Linked DNA regions of Stegostoma tigrinum. The protein of the gene in region 3 interacts with the protein of the main gene of each other region in a pairwise test. Links are inferred from orthologs where the notes say so. Each region holds a gene or a part of one and is shown on either strand. Other genes may lie near its edges. The genes, in order: cytidine deaminase-like, stam2 and plekhb2.

The links.
Region 1: the proteins of plekhb2 (region 3) and cytidine deaminase-like interact in binary tests that used the Homo sapiens proteins (3 or more experiments, as listed by UniProt). The two-hybrid records come from large-scale screens. The link is inferred for Stegostoma tigrinum from reciprocal best matches to the Homo sapiens genes PLEKHB2 and CDA.
Region 2: the proteins of plekhb2 (region 3) and stam2 interact in binary tests that used the Homo sapiens proteins (3 or more experiments, as listed by UniProt). The two-hybrid records come from large-scale screens. The link is inferred for Stegostoma tigrinum from reciprocal best matches to the Homo sapiens genes PLEKHB2 and STAM2.

Annotation. Positions count from the first base shown.
Region 1 is NC_081391.1:26,465,725-26,471,904, forward strand, and holds the start of cytidine deaminase-like, read right to left. Parts: upstream 3,619-6,180; 5' UTR 3,600-3,618; intron 3,588-3,599; coding exon of another isoform or gene 3,500-3,587; exon of another isoform or gene 3,443-3,499; intron 3,051-3,442; exon of another isoform or gene 3,003-3,050; 5' UTR 2,861-3,002; intron 1-2,860. Other genes in the region: uncharacterized protein LOC125447215, read left to right, coding at 3,500-3,587, 4,248-4,282. UniProt on the Homo sapiens protein: This enzyme scavenges exogenous and endogenous cytidine and 2'-deoxycytidine for UMP synthesis.
Region 2 is NC_081360.1:97,873,011-97,879,190, reverse strand, and holds the start of stam2 (signal transducing adapter molecule 2), read right to left. Parts: upstream 4,385-6,180; 5' UTR 4,032-4,384; coding exon 3,992-4,031; intron 1-3,991. Other genes in the region: hacd2 (very-long-chain (3R)-3-hydroxyacyl-CoA dehydratase 2), read left to right, coding at 5,377-5,504.
Region 3 is NC_081367.1:13,149,969-13,156,148, reverse strand, and holds the start of plekhb2 (pleckstrin homology domain-containing family B member 2), read right to left. Parts: upstream 3,494-6,180; 5' UTR 3,289-3,493; exon of another isoform or gene 3,264-3,288; intron 1-3,263. UniProt on the Homo sapiens protein: Involved in retrograde transport of recycling endosomes.

The DNA.
Region 1 (6,180 bases), on a different chromosome or scaffold from region 3:
CCTGTTTGAACAGCTCTTTCTATGCCAGAAAGTATTCCAACCGACCAAAAACCCGAATCCCTAGCAATTCACAGCTGTTCACCATTGATTCATCTCCTTTAACCTTTTGTTTCTTCCCTTGTTTGAGTTTGGCATTGGGAGTAAACCAGAAATTACTACTTTCAGGGTTCTATTTTTTAATTTTCTACCTAACCTCTCAAACTTACTCTACACTGCTCTAATCTTTTCCCTAAAAGTGTCATTCCAACCAATGTATACAATGATTTGTGGCTTCTCGATCCCACGTTTAACAATTTGCTTGAAATGTTGTGAGGTGTCTTTAATCCTAGCACCGGGAAAGCAACAAGCCATGCTAAATTTATGCTCACTGCCGCAGAATCTTCCGTCTACGTCCCTGATAGTAGTCCCCTATAACAATCATTTTATTAAATCCCATCAAATGCTGCCTAACATAAGAATTATTTCAAGCGTCCAATAACTGACTGCCCCTACAATTTTCCTCAGAGAGACTATCCCCTTCTACAGTTCCAAAACTGAATATCTGTTTGATAGAGGAATAGCCACTGGACACTTTGTAACTACCGTATTGTGCCTTTGTTTAAGAAGGTATGTAGGGAGAAGCCTAGGAACTATAAATTTGAGAGCCTGACTTCTGTGGTGGTTAAGTTGCTGGAGGTGATTCTGAAAAGATTTATATGCACATTGAGAGGCAAGGAATGATTAGGGATGGTCAGCACAGTCTTATGTGAGAGAAATAGTGTGTCACAAACTTGATTGAGATTTTTGAGGAAGTGACCAGGAAAATTGATGAGGGCACAGTGATGTATGTTGTTTACTTAGACTTTAGTAGACCCTTTGACAAGGTTCCACATGGTTGACTAATTAGTAAAGTTGAATAACATGGGATTCAGGGTGAGCTTGCAAATTGTATTTAAAATTGGCTTAATGGCAGAAAACAGAGTTGTGGTGGAGGGTTGCTTTTCAGACTGGAGGCCTGTCAATGGTGCTATTCCACAGGGATCGTGCTGGGTCCTCTTGTTTGTCATTTACAGAAATGATTCAGATAAGAAGGCATGGTTAGTAAATTTGCAGATGACGCCAAAATTGGTGGTATAGTGGACAGTGAAGAAAGAGATCCAAGATTACAAAGAGATCTTGATTAAGGGCCAACGATCTCAGGCTTGGCAGATGGAGTTTAATTTAGATAAATGTGAGATGTTACGTTCTGGTAAAATGAATAATGGCAGGACCGTTACAATTAATAGTGGGACCCTGGGTAGTGTTGTAGAACAAAGAGACCTGGGAGTTCATATTCATAATTCTGTGAAGGTTGCATTCCATATAGATAGGTTGGTTAAGAAGGCATTTAGCACACTTGCTTTCGTTGTTCAGACCTTTTGAGTATAGGAGTTGGGCAGCATGTTGAGGTAGTACAAAACGTTGGTGAGACCTCTTCTGGTGTACTGTGTCCAGTTCTGGTCACTTTGTTATAAGAAGGATATTATTAAGCTAAAGAGGGTCCAAAAAAGATTTACCAGGATATTGCCAGGAATGGAGGATTTTCATTATAAGGAGAGGCTGGATAGGCTGTGACTTTATTAACTGGAACATTGGAGATTGAGAGGGTGACCGTAAAGAAGTTTATAAAATAATGAGGGATATAGATAATGTTAATGGCAGGTGTCTTTTCCATAGAGTTGTGGATTTGAAGACTAGGAAGCATATTTTTAAGGTGAGAGGGAAGCAACTTAAAAAAGACTTAAGGGCAACTTTTTTTTCCCCGCACAGTGTAGTTTGTGTCTGGAATGAACTTCCAGAGGAAGTGGTGGATGTGGGTAAAGTTACAATACCTAAAAGACATTACACACATAAATAGGAAATGTTTGGACAGATATGGGCATGCGCAGTCAGGTGGGACTAGTTTAGTTTGGGATTATGGTTGGCCTGTTTGGACCAAATAGCCTATTTCATGCTGTATGACTCTATGACATACACTCACAAGCTCTCTTCCTCTACCCAGAACCAAATCAGGTTAATAGAAGAGATAGAAAACAGATCTGATCAAACCCAAATGAAACAGGGAGAGATTCATGGGAAATTGTTGTTTGACCTCCTTAATCAAAAGTAGTCCTGGAGATGATAACAAGGTCTAGGCCCGAAACGTCAGCTTTTGTGCTCCTAAGATGCTGCTTGGCCTGCTGTGTTCATCCAGCCTCACATTTAGTTATCTTGGATTCTCCAGCATCTGCAGTTCCCATTATCTCTAGTCCCAGAGATGATATTGGCTCTGATTGACATTACATTATACTCACTTATGCAAGATGATCACCATTCCTAGTACAGTGTTGGCTGAAGAAATAGAGAGAATCAGTTTTCACTGCATGAGACAACTGTCGTCTGATCCCCCAGATTCACTGTTGTTTGGACGACAGCTACCGACATGTGATATGCTTCTGCCCTTGTAAGCATGGCCCCCAGCTCTCCTAGACTTATTCAGTTCAGATAATTTGCCTACCTAAATGCAGTCTACTTCCTGAAAGGAGGCAGCTATTTATGTCAAGAACTAATTTGTAAAAAGGCCAAAGATTATTTTTTATTACTCAAGCCATCCAAAGTTTAGTTACAGTTTTGTTTTAATCATAGATTCCTCTCATTGTCTAAGGGATGCTAGAAAACGTGCAAGAACTGTACTTGCTGAAGTGAAAGTATGAGTTTGGACCGATTCCAGAGGTGTTGATCTTTTGTGACTGATTTGATGGTCATAGATGTCACATATCAGACTTACAATTGTTACGTAACAGGATTTAAAGTACGCTTAATGCTGAGCAAGATAATGTCAATATTTGAAAATGATTCCTACCTCTTTTCAAAGCTGGCTTGTCTTGGCTACATCAGTTGGTCTGTGAAACACCGTAAGTCTCAGCACAGTTCCACAAGCTACACAATGATAATATAGTAACCTGATTGCACACGTCAGCTATAATCCACAGTTGCACTTTAGTCTGTTAATAGGAGGAGAGAGGAAGACATGAGTCAGCTGAGGAACGTGCGTAACAAGTAAAGGGAGGGACAATTCTGGGAACTCCACAGCAGAATCAGAGAGAGCGAGGTTGTGGGGGGGGTGGGGGAAGAGAGAGAGAGAGAGAGAGAGATCTATTTGAAACTAATCAGAGAAAAAGCCATTGTGCAGAGGGAGATCAAAAGAAGATGCATTGGGAGAGGCTGGAGATCCGCTATGTGCACTCTGGGAGCAGTGACTAAAGAGTGATCTAAATGGTTGGGAGAGAAGTTCATTGTATAAAGAGGGCCCCAAAAGAGAGAGATGAATTGGGAGCAAAGAAAGTGATCTGAAGATCAGGAACAGAGATCCAGTGATCAGAGCTAGATCTACTGGACAAACAGGTTCGCTGGTCAGAGAAAGAGACTAAACCAGCAGATTAACCTTTTACCCATCTTTTCCCATTCACACATAGCACTGGATAACCACTATGAAAGCAGAATGGAGTGTCCACTCTGTGGTAATTGGTTTTCCGAAGCACTAATTCAGCAGCATGCTTGGAATTGTGATGGATCAAGATTTGAGGAAGGTAAGCAGTAACCTGCAGTAACAGAAAGCCCTGCCTCCTGCCTGCAGTCAGTGGTTAGACTGACAAAACCATATCATTTTGTAACTTCCTGTGCCACAGGATCATATTCCCCAAGAGCTAAGTTTGCAAAGATAGGAATATAGTAAATGTCAGCTTGACTGCTACGTTATCAGAGATGACCTTAGAATGAGATTTTAAACTAAGGTTGTCTGTGCTTTTCTGTGGTTCTGGTCAATGTTCATGATGATGCAAGTGGATGAACAGAGCAGCAGGGAAGATGTCTCCCTATGTTGTTGCCAATGTTCCTCCCTCAACATATCAGCTCATTCAAGTCATTGTTTGTTTGTGGGAGCTTGCTATGCACATTATAGCTCCTGCATTTACTGCGTATCAGCACACTGTTGAACTGGGCAGTGCCTGACTGCTTTGTAAAAGAGTCATATTGGACTCAAAACACTAATTTTGTTACTCCCTCCACAGATGCTGCTAGAGCTGCTGAGTTTCTCCAGCAGTTTCAGTTTTTACTATTATTAATTGAAAGGTTGCTGTGTGGCTGTAGCTCAACATTTAAATAACTTATTAAATGCCACTGTTATTCATAATTTGACAAAAAGCTGAACCTTGATCAATAAAGCATTGTCTTTAATTTCTGTTTGTAAGGGTTGTTGACTAAGCATGGAGCAGCTTCCGTTGCGGTGAGTGTTTTAGCCATTCTCTGGATTGTTTTATTTATCGTGCCAATTACAAATAACATGCAGCTTTTACTTTATATGGTGGTGGTACCTAGGCTTTTCTGAAAATATCTCTACCCTGCAGATATGACACCCCCAGTCACCCCACACACGCTTTTGTTCTATTTGTTTTTCTGTCTCTTTGCTGCTATACCTGTCTTTCGCTCTGTCTCTCTCCCTCACTTGCTCATGCTGTCTATCCATCTGTCTCGCGTGCTGCCTCCTCCTCACACAGCCTGTCTCTCTGTTTCACTGCATGAACCTTCATAACACACACCCTCGGAGATCGCTGCTCAATCAACCTACAGAATTCTATCCAATACATCAACGAGGATCTATTCCCCAATTATCTATATTGTACAATACCAACGTACTTTAAACCAACTGAATCACATCCTGTAAGCTCCAAAGATGTATAGTCCATGGCCAATACACCTACATTGGACACACAAATACAAATGCTAGAACTGAAATCCACACACTCCTGTCCCGTGAACGTATAGCTCATTCCCACAGGCCAATCCCCTTAAAGCTCTGCTTCACTGACCGTGGAGTCCTCGGCTCACAGATCTATAGGCCTCCTAGGATGAACAAGTATATCCCAAAGACTGTGTACACAGGGACTGTAACACAAGCGAGGATTTGACGTGGATGGGAAATGGTTTCAGTTTCACATTCTCGCCGTGGAATTTTAACTGAGACACTTAAAATCACAAACAGATTTGATAAAGTAAATAAGGATACATGTGACTTGGCCACATAGATTCAGAATTGGCTTGCCCACAAAAGGCAGAGGGTGGTGATGGAACAAAGGTTTTCAGCCTGCAGTTCGGTGACTAGTGGTGTTCCATAGGGATGTGTAATGGGACCTCTGTTTGTGGCACATGTAAATGAATTGGATTTAAAACATAGATGGATAGCTCATATGTTTGCAGACAATACAACGATCGGTGGAGTTGTGGATACTGTAGAAGGTTATCAAAGGTTAGAGCTGAATGTAGATCGGTTGCAGATATGGGCGGAAAAGTGGCAGATGGAGTTTAATCCAGGCAAGCATGAGATATTGCATGTGGGAGTTCAAATGTTAAGGAAAATTATACAGTTAATGGCAGCACTCCTGAACAACAGTGATGTACAGAGAAATCTTGGGGTTCAATCCTATAGCACCCTGAGAGTGGCCGCGCAAGTAGATAGGGTGGTAAAGTGCCATACGGCATGTTTGCCTTTATTGTTCAGGGAATTAAGTACAATAGTCAGGAAGTAATGCTGCAGCTTTATAAGAATTTGGTTAAGCCATACTTAGAGTATTGCATTCAGTTCTGTTTGCCACATTAACGGAAGGATGTGGAGGCTTTGGAGAGAGCGCAGAAGAGGTTTACCAGGATGCTGCCTGAATTACAGGGTCTGAGCTTTAAGAAGAGGCTAGAAGAATTCGGGTTGTTTTCTCTAAAGCGGCGAAGGCTGAGGTGAGACTTGATAGAATCAATAAAATTGAGATGCATAGATAAGGTTCATGGTCAGAATGTTTTGCCCAGAGTTGAAATGTCTAATACCAGGGGACATGCATTTAAGGTAAGAAAGGTAAAGTTTTTATTTACATAGAGAGTGGTAGGAGTGTGGAACGCACTGCCAGGGCTAGTGATGGAGGCAGATACGGTAGAGGCATTCTAGGGACTTTTAAATAAGCGCATGAATATGCAAAGAATGGAGGGATAGGGACAAAGGGCAGGCAGAAGGGATTAGTTTAATTTGGTGATAGTAAGAACTGCTGATTCTGGAGTCTGAGATAACATTGTGGAGCTGGAGGAACACAGCAGGCCAGGCATCATCAGAGGAGCAGGAAAGTTGACGTTTCAGGTCGG
Region 2 (6,180 bases), on a different chromosome or scaffold from region 3:
TAGATTCAATGACCCAGCTTTCACTGATGTCCGAGGTAGAGAATTCCAAACACCAGTAATCATACAAGGACGAGAAATTCCATCTGAGGAATACACTCACTGCCCTGACTTCCTTGTTGCGGGAGGTTGCTTGATGTACTTAGTATACATTAATCGAGCCTTCCATAATTTTAAGATGTTTCATATCTTTTCCGCTTCTGTACGTATGTCCTATTTTATCCTTGGCTGAAAGAGGGACAGAATTGGCAGCTGAACTTCCCAGGATTTTGATGTTTCAGGTGTGATAGAAAGGGAGAGAAGATGGGTGGGGTGATGCATTACTGTTCGAGGAGTATCGCACAGCTGTACTAAGGGAGGATACATCAGAGGACTTGTGCAGCGAGGCAATATGGGTGGAACTCAGGAACAGGGAAGATGAAGTCACAGTGCTGGGGGTATACTACAGGCCTCAATAGCCAGCAGGTGATAGAAGAGAGAATATGTAGACAGATTTTGGAAAGATGCAAAAACAGCAGGGTTATTGTGATGAGTGATTTTAACTTCCCCTGTATTGACTGGGACTCACTACATGCTAGGTGCTTGGATGGGACAGAATTTGTAAGAACCATTCAGGAGGGATTCTTGACACAGTACGTGAACAGTCCAATAAGGGAAGAGATTATACTAGGCCTGGCTTTGGGAAATGAGCCTGGCCAGGACAGTGAAGTTCACTAGGGAAGCATTCTACGAGTAGTGATCCTAATACCGTGAGCTTTAAGATACTCATTGATAGTGATAATAGCAGTCCTTGGGTGAAGGTGAACTACAGAGATAGTAGGAACTGCAAATGCTGGAGAATCTGAGATAACAAGGTGTGGAGCTGGATGAACACAGCAGGCCAAGCAGCATCAAAGGAGCAGGAGGAGGAGGAGGAGAAGGAGAAGGAAGGCTGGTTAGGCAGGAACTGGAGAATTGTGATTGGAGGCAGCTGTTTCATGGTAAATTTACATCAGGCATGTGGGGATATTTCAAACAGCAGTTGATAAGAGTTCAGGAGAGGCACATTCCTGTGAGAATGAAGGATCGGCATGGCAAATTACATAAACCTTGGTTGACCAGGAATGTTACAACCTTGATCAAAAAGAAAATGGAAGCATATATAAGGTCCAGGAGGATGGAAACTGATGAAGTATACAAGGAAAGTCGGTAAAAACTTAAACAAGGAATTAGAAGGGCTAAAACAGGTCATGAAATGTTGTTAGCAAACAGGATTAAGGAGAATCCCAAGGCTTATTGATAATATATAACAAAAGTAAGAAGGTAGCCAGGGAAAGGGTTGGCCTACTCAAGGGCAAAGGAGACAATCTACGTGTGAGGCGAGAAGAGGTGAGTGAGGTCCTAAATGAATACTGTGTGTCAGTATTCACCAAACAATAGGAATTGGCGGAGGATGATCCCTGGGAAGGTTCTGTCGAGTTTCTAAGCCAGGTTGCTATTAACAAGGTGTTTGGCATCTTAAAAAATATTGAAGTACATAAGTCCCTGGGTCCTGAAGGGATCTAAGCCAGAATATTGAGGGAGGCAAAAGAACAGGTTCAAGGTTCAAGGTTCAAGGCAGGTGGGGGGTTAAAAGGGGTGTGCTAGGCAAGCTTTTCACACAGAGTGGCGAGTGCCTGGAACGCATTGCTAGAGATGGTGATGGAAGCAGAAATAATAGCAGCTTTCAAGTAGTGTCTGGACGAATACATGAATAGGAAAGGAATAGAGAGATACAGACTCTGCAAGTGAAGACAGTTTCAGCAATGGAGGGGCAAATTTGGCAGTGCAGGCTTGGATGGCCGAAGGACTTATTCCTGTGCTGTATCATTCTTTGTTCTTTAAAAGGACCCAAGATCCAAAGAAATCGACATTTACAGATGGGATGCATGTGTGGCTTAACTACTGGCATAGTTTCTTTTAAGCTTAAGACATCAAAATCCAAGATAAAGGAAAAAAGAAAATACAATTAATGGGAGCTTGCAAATGCAGGCCATCTAAAACAATATGCTGTCAAGTTCCATTCCTAGTTCTAGAAGCTGGCCTGGTTTCTCCTCATGGAGTAAATCTAGAATTTGGTTGCACTGTATCAAACAAAGGGACCACTTAAAATACTGAGGGAACATAGAACATACAGGCCCTTCGGCCCACTCTGTGGTGCCAAACTTTTACCCTAATGCTAAATTCTATCTAACCTCCACCCTTACCTTATACTATCATCCATATGCCTCTCTAACAGTCACTTAAATGCCCCTAATGAGGCCGACTCCACTACCCACTCCAGCAATGCATTCCACACCCTAACCACTCTGAGTAAAGAACTTACGTCTCTCCTATATCTACCTCAACTCACTTTAAAACTATGCCCCTCGTAATAGCTACCTCCACCCTAGGAAAAAGTCTCTGGCTGTCCACTCTATCTATACCTCTGATCATTTTGTACATCTCAATCAAGTCACCGCTCATCCTTTGTTGTTCTAAAGAGAAAAGCCCTAACGCTGTCAACCTTTCCTCATAAGACCTTCCCTCCATTCCAGGCAATATCCTGGTAAATCTCCTCTGCACCTTTTCCAACGCCTCCACATCTTTCCTGTAATGAGATGACAGAACTGGACACAATACGCCAGATGTGGCCGAACCAGGCTTTTGTATAGCTGGAGCATAACTTCACGGCACTTGAACTCAGTCCCTGTTAAATGAAAGCTAACACACCATATGCGTTCTTAACAACTCTATCCACCTGGGTGGCAGCTTTCAGGGAACTGTGAACATGAACTCTAAGATCCCTCTGCTCCTCCACGCTTCTGTAACCCTGTATTCTGCTTTCAAGTTTGTCCTTCCAAAATGTATCACCTCACACTTTTTAGGGTTAAACTCCATCTGTCACTAATATCTCCTCTGAGAGGGTTACTTATCTTGGTAATTTTCTACCCAATACAGTGTAGATGCTATCACAGAACACAGTTGAGACCAAGATAGATTTTTGAACCACAGGGCATTTGTGGGTTTTTGGGAGGGGTAATGGCAGAAGTGTCAGACAGGAACATAGAGCTCAGACTAAGATCAGAACAGCCACCATCTTATTGTATAGCAAAGCAAGCTTATAGGGCTGAATGGACTCCTCCTACTTCATATCCAATGCTGTATACTCATCTTGTGCCAAGAGCAGAGGCATTTAAGATGAAAACTAAATACTTGCAGAGTTTTTCCAGCACATTCTGCTTTCATTCCATCTCTAGCGTTTGAAACACAGGAACAGGAGTAGACCATTCAGCCCCTCAAGCTTGTTCCATCATTCAATGAGGTTATAATTGATTTGTAGCCTACCTTCACGTACTCATCTTAGGCCCAAAATCACTTAATATCCTTGCTTAACAAATCTGACATCTGACATAGATAAATTTTAACAACTGATTTAGCATAAATTAATATTTGTGAACGAGAGTTCCAAACCTCTATCACTTTTTCTAACAACTCTTTTTTTATTTGACAGGCTAAGATGAGAACTGATCGAGCCGCTCAAAAGATTTCAGTGGAGCAAATGAGACGCAGCTTTGAGTGACAGAAGGATCAGTTATCAGAACGGTAAAGAGATCAGGTTTTATCCTTGTGAACTTGAAAATTAGGGAACATTTTCTGACGCAACAAGTGGCTGAAAGGGTGCAAATTCAACAGTAATTCTCAAAAACAAACCGACAAATCCTGGGGTTCCAAGAGGACGGTGTTGCAGGATTGTTGGCGGGGGTGGGTGGTCTAAAATCGGGGGGCCTCACGGGAGGAGGGACCGAACGGCCGCCTTGAATGCTGTATCATTCCCTGAGCAACATTTCCTTTCTCCCGGAGACCCTTGGTACTCAACAAGCTGATATAATCAGCTCATTTAGAAGCGTTGTGTCATTTATATAATTAAAAGTGTGTGTTTTTAAAAGCCCGGGGCCGGTTTTAAAATCCCTCAACCCTGACAGGCATAACTTACCGACATCCTGGTCGAAGGGGTTGGTGGCGAAGAAAGGCATAGCTGGGATTACAGTAGGAAAACTTTTTTTAAGTGAGAAATAGCCTTCTGGAGATAGGCCGCCGTCAGGCCTCGGCGTCTCTTCAGCTCGAAGCCCGTAACAGTCGCTCCTTCGCCAGCCCCTGGAACATCCTAACAGCCGAGGCCTCCGACCAAATCTGCCCCTTACGGTCTCAGTTTCTTTCACAACTGAAAGTAGGATAAATATTCTCAGTTTTTCACTCCACCCCTTCTCCGGGAGATGAAATGGCGTCGCAGGAGGAGGTGAAGGGAGTTTGTGATCGGGGGATGTGAAGAAATTATAAAATAAATAATAACTTCACGCTGGTCAGGTGACGCCTCTTTGACCCCGCCCCACTTTCTTCCATTGGAGGCGGTCGTCACTCGGCCCTCCTGTAGTGGGGGGGGGGGTCAGCCAAACTAGGGGGCAGTAAATTGACATGTTCGGGTGGCGCAATTCGCTGTCTGCCCGTCCAGGGGGCAGCATAGGAGGATGACCGTGAGACAGAATTCTCAATTTGCCGGTTTCGTGGGAGCAGCACCGAAGGAGGTATGGTAATTCAGTGGGTAGCCAGCATCATGTACCGATGTCGGGACATTGCAGGGAAGGATACAGGAGGGGAAATTCGCTCAGAGATAATAGGAACTGCAGATGCTGGGGAATCCGAGATAATAAGGTGTAGAGATAACAAAGTGTGGAGCTGGATGAACACAGCAGGCCATGCAGCATCATAGGAGCGGGAAGGATGACGTTTCGGGCCAAGACCCTTCATCAGCAAAAAAAATTCGCTGTCCGCCAGTCCAGAGGGCAGCATCGAGGGAAGAATGTACGAGGGGCAATTTAAGGTCAGCCAAACCAGGGGGCAGCGTGGAGGGGGTGGAACGCAGGAACGGCAATGGAAGGTCGTTCTGGCAGAGGGCAGTATCGGGGAGGACCAAAAAACAAAGTTGCTGGAAAAGCTCAGCAGGTCTGGCATCAGCTGTGGAGGAGCAAATAGAGTTAACGTGAGATAACAAAGTGTGAAGCTGGATGAACACAGCAGGCCAAGCAGCATCTCAGGAGCACAAAAGCTGAAGTTTCGGGCCTAGACCCTTCATCAGAGAGGCTCGAAACGTCAGCTTTTGTGCTCCTGAGATGCTGCTTGGCCTGCCGTGTTCATCCAGCTTCACACTTTGTTATCAGGGAATGCATGAGTGGCATTTCAGGGTCAGCCAATCTTGGGGGCAGTACCGAGGGAGACGTGCGGGAGGCGGGATCGGCAGCCAGCCAATCCTTCAGAAGGGGGTGGGGCCAGGTGGTGGTAAATACTGCGCACGCGCGGCAGTTCAGTGACGGACTGATCACCATGGCGTCGGTCGGGAGTGGGCTTGAACATCAACGTGGGGTTCATGAAGGGCCGCAGAAGAAAAGAAGGGGTCCGGGACCCCTCGCCACTGCTTACATGGTCATCTACAACGTGGTAATGACGGCCGGGTGAGAGCTTACATTTTTAAAGCTGTGTTCCGTACCGATCCCAATTAGCTATCCGGGTCAGGCACTGTTGGCAAATTACCATTTCTTTCCATAAGCGTCTGAAATCCACTGCTATTCTTCAGTGTTGCGTTAATTAACATTATAATAATGCAGTAAGCTCGCTTACTGAAAGCAGTTTGCAAATCGAAAGCAGCAGTCTATTTAACCCCCCCCCCCCCCACCGTGTTCCCTTCTCTTGCAGGATCACTTCCTATTTATGGATGGTTCCTCAGTGAGGGACTACAGTGGTACTGAGAGGGCAAAGATTATTATTTAAAGAAGTTCCTTTTGAAATGAAACATGGGTCGGCTCGTATATCGCAATGGAGGAAGAAATGTATTTTCTTCCCTTCCACCTAAGCCACGTGCATTAGTGAATAAGGACCCCCACCCCCATGTGTAAATTGCTGCCGGAAACCATTGTGATGCGACAGTGGACTTTGTTCTGCTTTTCCGCTCCCATATTACAAAACACAACTGATCTCGTTCTGTCACTACTGTACTCTTCAGATCTTTGGTACAGACTGAGTTTCCTGCTGACCTAAGTCGGCAAGCTTTGTGGGGAATGGTGAAAGCAAACTAGGGGTGTGGTGTGTATTTTTCTAGAGATTGGGAGCAAATGTCTCTTCTCAGTTGGC
Region 3 (6,180 bases):
TGAGTCTATGAACAAAAATAATGAAAATTCAACTTCAAACGTTTAACTTATCCAGAGGTAAGTGTACAAATTGGCCAAGCATCTGCTACCAAATAAGTGTACTCCATAAAACTTCACAGCTCAAAAGGATGTTGTTTGTGCAGGTTATTTGCCAACACATGTCTCAACTATGCCCATTGGATTGTATCTCCAGAGTTTTGAATCATCTGCTGCTTTAAATATTTATGCTCAAAAAGTACAAGAGTTTCTGCCTCTGAACACTTCCAAAAGGTACAGCATTATTTATTTTAGTCACATCTACATATACTATGCCAAAGTTCTCTTTTCACTGTGGCAAGTTGGACTCAAAACCTTTTAGAAGTTTTAAAGTCCGTTTGATTTCCAGCTAGTTTTTCAATCCTTATGAATGTATTATTTTGTATTTCCCCCCCGCACTCTAAAGCTGGATTTACTGTGGCTTCTTACAGTGCTATGCAACTGATTTGCTAAAAATTAAACAATTATTGATCTCCAGCAGCTACATAAGTGCTGTAGCTACACAAGTCAAAGACGTGGATTTCACCGACAACTGGAATTCTGCAGAGACCTAGCACCTCCCCAAATCCTGCCCACCATTCAGAAACCACAGGTCTGGAGTGTGATTGTAATATTTTCCATCTCCCCAGACATGCAAAGTGCTAACAACACTCAAGAAGCTCAGCACCATTCAAGCCAAATGCACATAAAATGTCAACACCCTCTACCACTGCACCACAGCTGTGGCAACGTGTACCATCCACAAGTTAAAGCCTCCATCAACAGCACCTTCCAAACCATACACACAGATCTCCTCGAAGGACGAGGGCAGCAGATGGGAACAGCATCTCCAATGTTTCCTACCATGTCATATACTATCCCATCAAATCCTGGAACTGCCTTCCTAACAGTACAATTGAAGGACTACAGCAGTTCAAGGCCGGTCACCACTACAAGGGCAATTGGGATGGTCAATAAGTGCTTGCTTTTCCAACAAAACTTTACCCTATGAAAATACTTCAAGTTTTAAAATCTGATAAGATTCCCCTTACCAAAATCTGTTCTACTGCAGGGCTTCAGGACCTTCAGCTTCTCCTCAAATCCATAGATTTTTCTTAGAAGAAAGTAACTCGTACAGCTTCAGGATAACCAAATGTACTTTAGAGTCAGTTACATGATCATTGCTGTAACTGATGAAAATTATCAGCCAAATTGTACACCAGGCTCCACAAATACATTAAATCAGCACAGAGCACGCTATAGCATATTTGGCCAAGTGATGCTACCACTTTGTGCTGACAGGGAGAAATTTTAACACGATCTCCGATTTGGACATTCATTCAATGGCCTACCAATGAAATAGTAATGAATAGAAATGCCTCTCAATGTAATTCTTAGAGGGCAGGCTGCTATGATAATTTCCACAATTTGAAGGTTATGGCCACAAATGCATTTTGGTTATCCTCCCACATTCTAGAAATGGATCAAATAGCTGCATCATCCAAAACTCGGGGGTTGGAGTTGCCTATTCACCATTATACCAGTCAAATGGGGACCCTGGCCATTTCTTCAACACTGCACACATCCCATTATTCATCAATTGGGAAAGTGAGCTGTTACCAGCATTTTGAATATTCCCTACTGTTGCCCAAAATCACTGACACGATTTGAAGCACTTTTTGGGTAGGTCCAAAAAAAGTATTAGCCCTTGCTTTTCTTTGAAAATTGCACAGGAATGATTTACATTCAACCGAGTTGGCTGTTACTTTAAAGTTTGTATAAGCAAGCAGGGTTATAGTGCAGGACTTCCTCAATATCACACAAGCACCGTGTTCTCAAAATCTCTCCAGTTTGGACTTTGGTAGTGTATACCCAAATCTAGTACAAACCCAAGACTTCATATTCAATTTGCAAGCACTAATTTCTAGCCTTGAGACATATTTAGGTTTTAAAATATACATCTTCACCACAAAGCATTTGGAATTAACGTTAACCCAACAGCAAGTAAATCTAAACCAAAAGAGGAGCAGATGCTGTAAGTCAGTAATAAAATCAGAAGGGTCACCGGACCCAAAACATTAACTGATTTTTCTTCATAGATGCTACCAGACTTGGCTGAGCTTTTCCAGCAACTTCTAGATTTTGTTCAAGTAAACCTGCCCCAATTTAATGCTGATGCGCAACACCCTTAAATAAATCATGTCAAGAAATCTCAAACTTTTTATGGGAATTCTGAATTAGCTGAGGAGCTAAGCACTAGCAGCTGGATGAACGAACAAAATAACAACTGATTCAGTGACATTAAGCCTAAAAGGACAGATGACGAGCTTTGACTGTCTGAACTACAGTGGATTGGAAAGTGACTCAGTGGTACCACGTGGCCCAGACTTAAAGCATTTCATCCTCCACGGACTTAATTCAATTAAGCACTCTGCAAAGGTGCAAGTTATTTCAATGATAAACAATAACACATAGCATAAACATTGTAAAACACTAATAAATAATAAATTCACAATTTTGTTCTGGGGAAACTGTGAAATGGTTTAAGTAGCACTCTATCATGAACGATTATTGGTTCACAATGTGTGTCAATTTCAAACATACTATTAATTCCACAAGTTACATGATGTGCTTTTGTTTACTAGAGAGGGTGGAGGAATGATTAAGTAGTCATATGATACTGTCACAGATGACGACGATCACACACTAAAACAAACAGACGCCTACTCCTTCTCATATCATAATAAAAGACCTGTTAAGTCCATGACAGTTTTATATTTCAAAAGGGGAGGGGTGGGAAAGAAGGGTCAGTCAGAAAGTAGGATAAATCCGAAAGGGATCAGTCAGTAGTTTAAGCAGCAAAAATAAACAGTTCTCCTGGTTTACGTGTGGGCTGGACGAAGATATACATGAACCCAAATCCTGTCTCCCTCTTTCTGCTTCCTACTGCTGCTGATGCGCAACATTAGTGTATTTATTGGGCTGGGGTTAGGTTTAAGAAATACACTGGAAACATCGCACCCAGCAGACAGAAACAGTCAAATCCTTTGCCAAGTGACCACGCTATGAACCCGGCCCTCGACAGCCGCGACCATCTGAAACAGAAATCCAGAGACACTCCTTGGAACGCCATGTAAGAGTTTAACGTTCCAAATTAGAATCCAAAGACTACCGTGCAACAGTTCAACGTTCCAAACTGGAACAAAGACTCTCGTAGAACCCCATTACCACCTGCAACCGCTACTCACCCTCAGCCCTAGCAGCTCCACTCACCCCGTCACCTCAATTTGTCACAAGACAAGTGCGTCCTCAGGCGATCCACCTATTCTCCGCCCTCCTTGCCACGGTCGCCTCTGGGAGTTATAGTCCATTCAAACCCGTTCCCCGTTTTCTGCCGAGGACGGAGACTACATTTCCCATCCAGCATCGCAGACTGCCGAAGGAAAGACTCCCGGCTTTGAAATAGGAAGAATTGCAGAGGTTAGAGTCAGAGATAACGCAGCATCATAGGAGCCGGGAAGTTGACGTTTTGGGTGGGGTCACTTCTTCCTGCTTTGACTTCCTTGTGAATCCACCCAGCCCCAACGCGTTCCAGCGCTATTGGCACGAATGATAAAGGGCTGTCTTCTTTGGATGTGTCCTCCAGCAGGTGTTTACATCTTATTTGACGTTTCTCCCGAAGGGAAACCTCCCTGAGATCTTCATCAAATCAGCTGAAGTTGGCCCTTCTCTATTTACTCTGTTTATAAAGTTAGCCAGCTACGAGTTTGAGGGTGGCGGAATGGGTAGCAGGGGCCCAAAGAACTGAGGCTGTTGGAAATCAGAAACAATAACGTAAGTTTCTGGCGAAACTCAGCAGGTGTGGCAGCATCTGTGGAGAGAAAACAGAGTTAGGCTGTGTTCTATACAAGGGTCATTGCGTTCTCTCCGCAGATGCTGCCACACCTGCTGAGTTTCTCTAGCAATTTCTGTTTTTGTTCTGATTTCTAACATTCGCACTTCAGGGGGTGTTGGGAGGAGGGGGTATAGGGGATCACGATTGTCGATTCGGTCGAGAAAAAAAAATAAACATTAGGTAGACCACTCGAGCTGAATGCCTTTTTGTGCAGCCCATATTCAATACAATTCAGCCTACAGATCTTTGTGGTTCCAAGTAAAGCATCACTATGAATACGGGAAATCCTCCATACCACCGACATTCAGTCCTATGCCCAATTGACAAGTGCCCTTCCAACTCCATGAACTAACAGCAAACATCCTGCTGGACCTACTGATGGTTATCACTAAAATGAACTAAGTTTGTGAATATTTTAAGTTTTTAAAATTCACAACAAATAGTGGAAACCTGGCAAAAAGCCCCAGTCAGAAGCCCAGAGAGAAACCTCTCAAAATTGCAGTAGACTAGAAAAGACAACACCTTCCAATCTGTAGCCCAAGACACCTCTGGTGACAGCTTCCATGCCAGATGATCAGCAATGAGCTAAACTTAAAAAGGCCCAGAATCGATTAACTATCAGTGCGAAATGGCATATGGGTTTTTGTTTTGTTTTCATTCATTCACGGGATGTGGGCATCACCAAATAAGCAATTATTTATTGCGTATCCCACATTGTCCGGGGAAGGTGAGGCTCAGCTGCTTTCTTAACTGCAATCCTTTTGGTCGGTACACAGTTAGGAAAGAAGCTCCAGGATATTTTGACCCAATTGCTAGAAAAGCTCAGCAGTTCTGGCAGCATCTGTGAAGGAACAAAAACAGAAGTTGCTGGAAAAGCTCAGCAGGTCAGAAGGGTCACCGGACCCGAAATGTTAACTCTGATTTTTTTTCTTCACAGATGCTGTCAAACCTGCTGAGTTTTTCCAGGAACTTCTGCTTTTGATCCTGATTTTCAACATTCGCAATTCTTTCAGTTTTTATTTTGACCCGGTGTCAGTGTTCCAGTCAGAATGGTATGTGACCTGGACGGGAGCCTGCAGGTGTTACTCCCTTGTACCTACAGCCCTATCCTAAGTAGCAGTGGTCACAGGTTTAAAAGATGTTGTCAAAGGAGCATTAGTGAATTACTGCAGTGCTTCTTGTAGTATGGTCAGACTGCTGCCACTGTGTGTCGGCAGTGAAGGATGTGAATGCTGAAGGGCGAACAGGGGGGGCCAATCAAGTGGGCTGCTTTGATCTAGATGGTGTCAAACTTCTAGAGTGTTGTTGAAGCTGCATTCATCCGGGCAAGTGGAGATTATTCTAACACACTCCTGATGTGGGATCAGAGTTAAATGCATGGCTTAAAGTTTAGATGGGAGATAGGGGTTTCATGGAGGACTGGTAACATTACTGGGAAAATAGAGAGCTGTACTGTTATGGTGACCTTCAACTGAATTTTACTGAGATGGATTAAATCAGGTCGGATGTTAATTTTAACTGGAATGTGGCAGAAAGAGAGTGTGCAAACATAAGAATGGACCACTAAATGATGTCAGAGTAAGGAAAAATGATAAGAAGAGAGGCTGAGAGATAGGATCCAGAAGGGTCCAGAGCCAAAATGTCAGCTTTCCAGCTCCTCTGATGCTGCTTGGCCTGCTGTGTTCATCCAGCTCTACACCTTGTTATCTAAGATGAGAGGCTGAATCAGTTAGGACTAGATTCACTGGTGTTTTGAAGATGGAGGAGGGATGTCATAGAAACATATAATATTCCAACAGGACAAGACATTAAATGAAGGAAGGATACTTCCAAGGACCCAAGTCCAGAACTGGGGACAGAGTCTAAAGATACAGGGGAGACTATTCAGGACTGAAATTTGAAGAAATCTCTTTATCCTGAGAGTGGTGAGCATGTTGAATTGTCTGTCACAGAAAGCAGTAGAGACCAAAACATTGAATATTTTCAAGAAGAACTTAGATGTGGTTCCTTGCATGAAAGGAGTATGGGGAACAGGGAACTGAACTGGATAATCAGTCATGATCATACTGAATAGCTGAGCAGGCTCAAAGGGCTGAGTGGCCTACTTATACTCCTACCTTTTATATTAAGACAAAATTAAAGTTCTTTGAATGCACACAACGTTCATAACTAGATCAATTAATGGCATAAATCAAAATGAATGACTATATGGTAGCTATTAGAGAGATGTGATTGCGAGGTGACAAATTTCATTTGGTTCTTTTCCAACT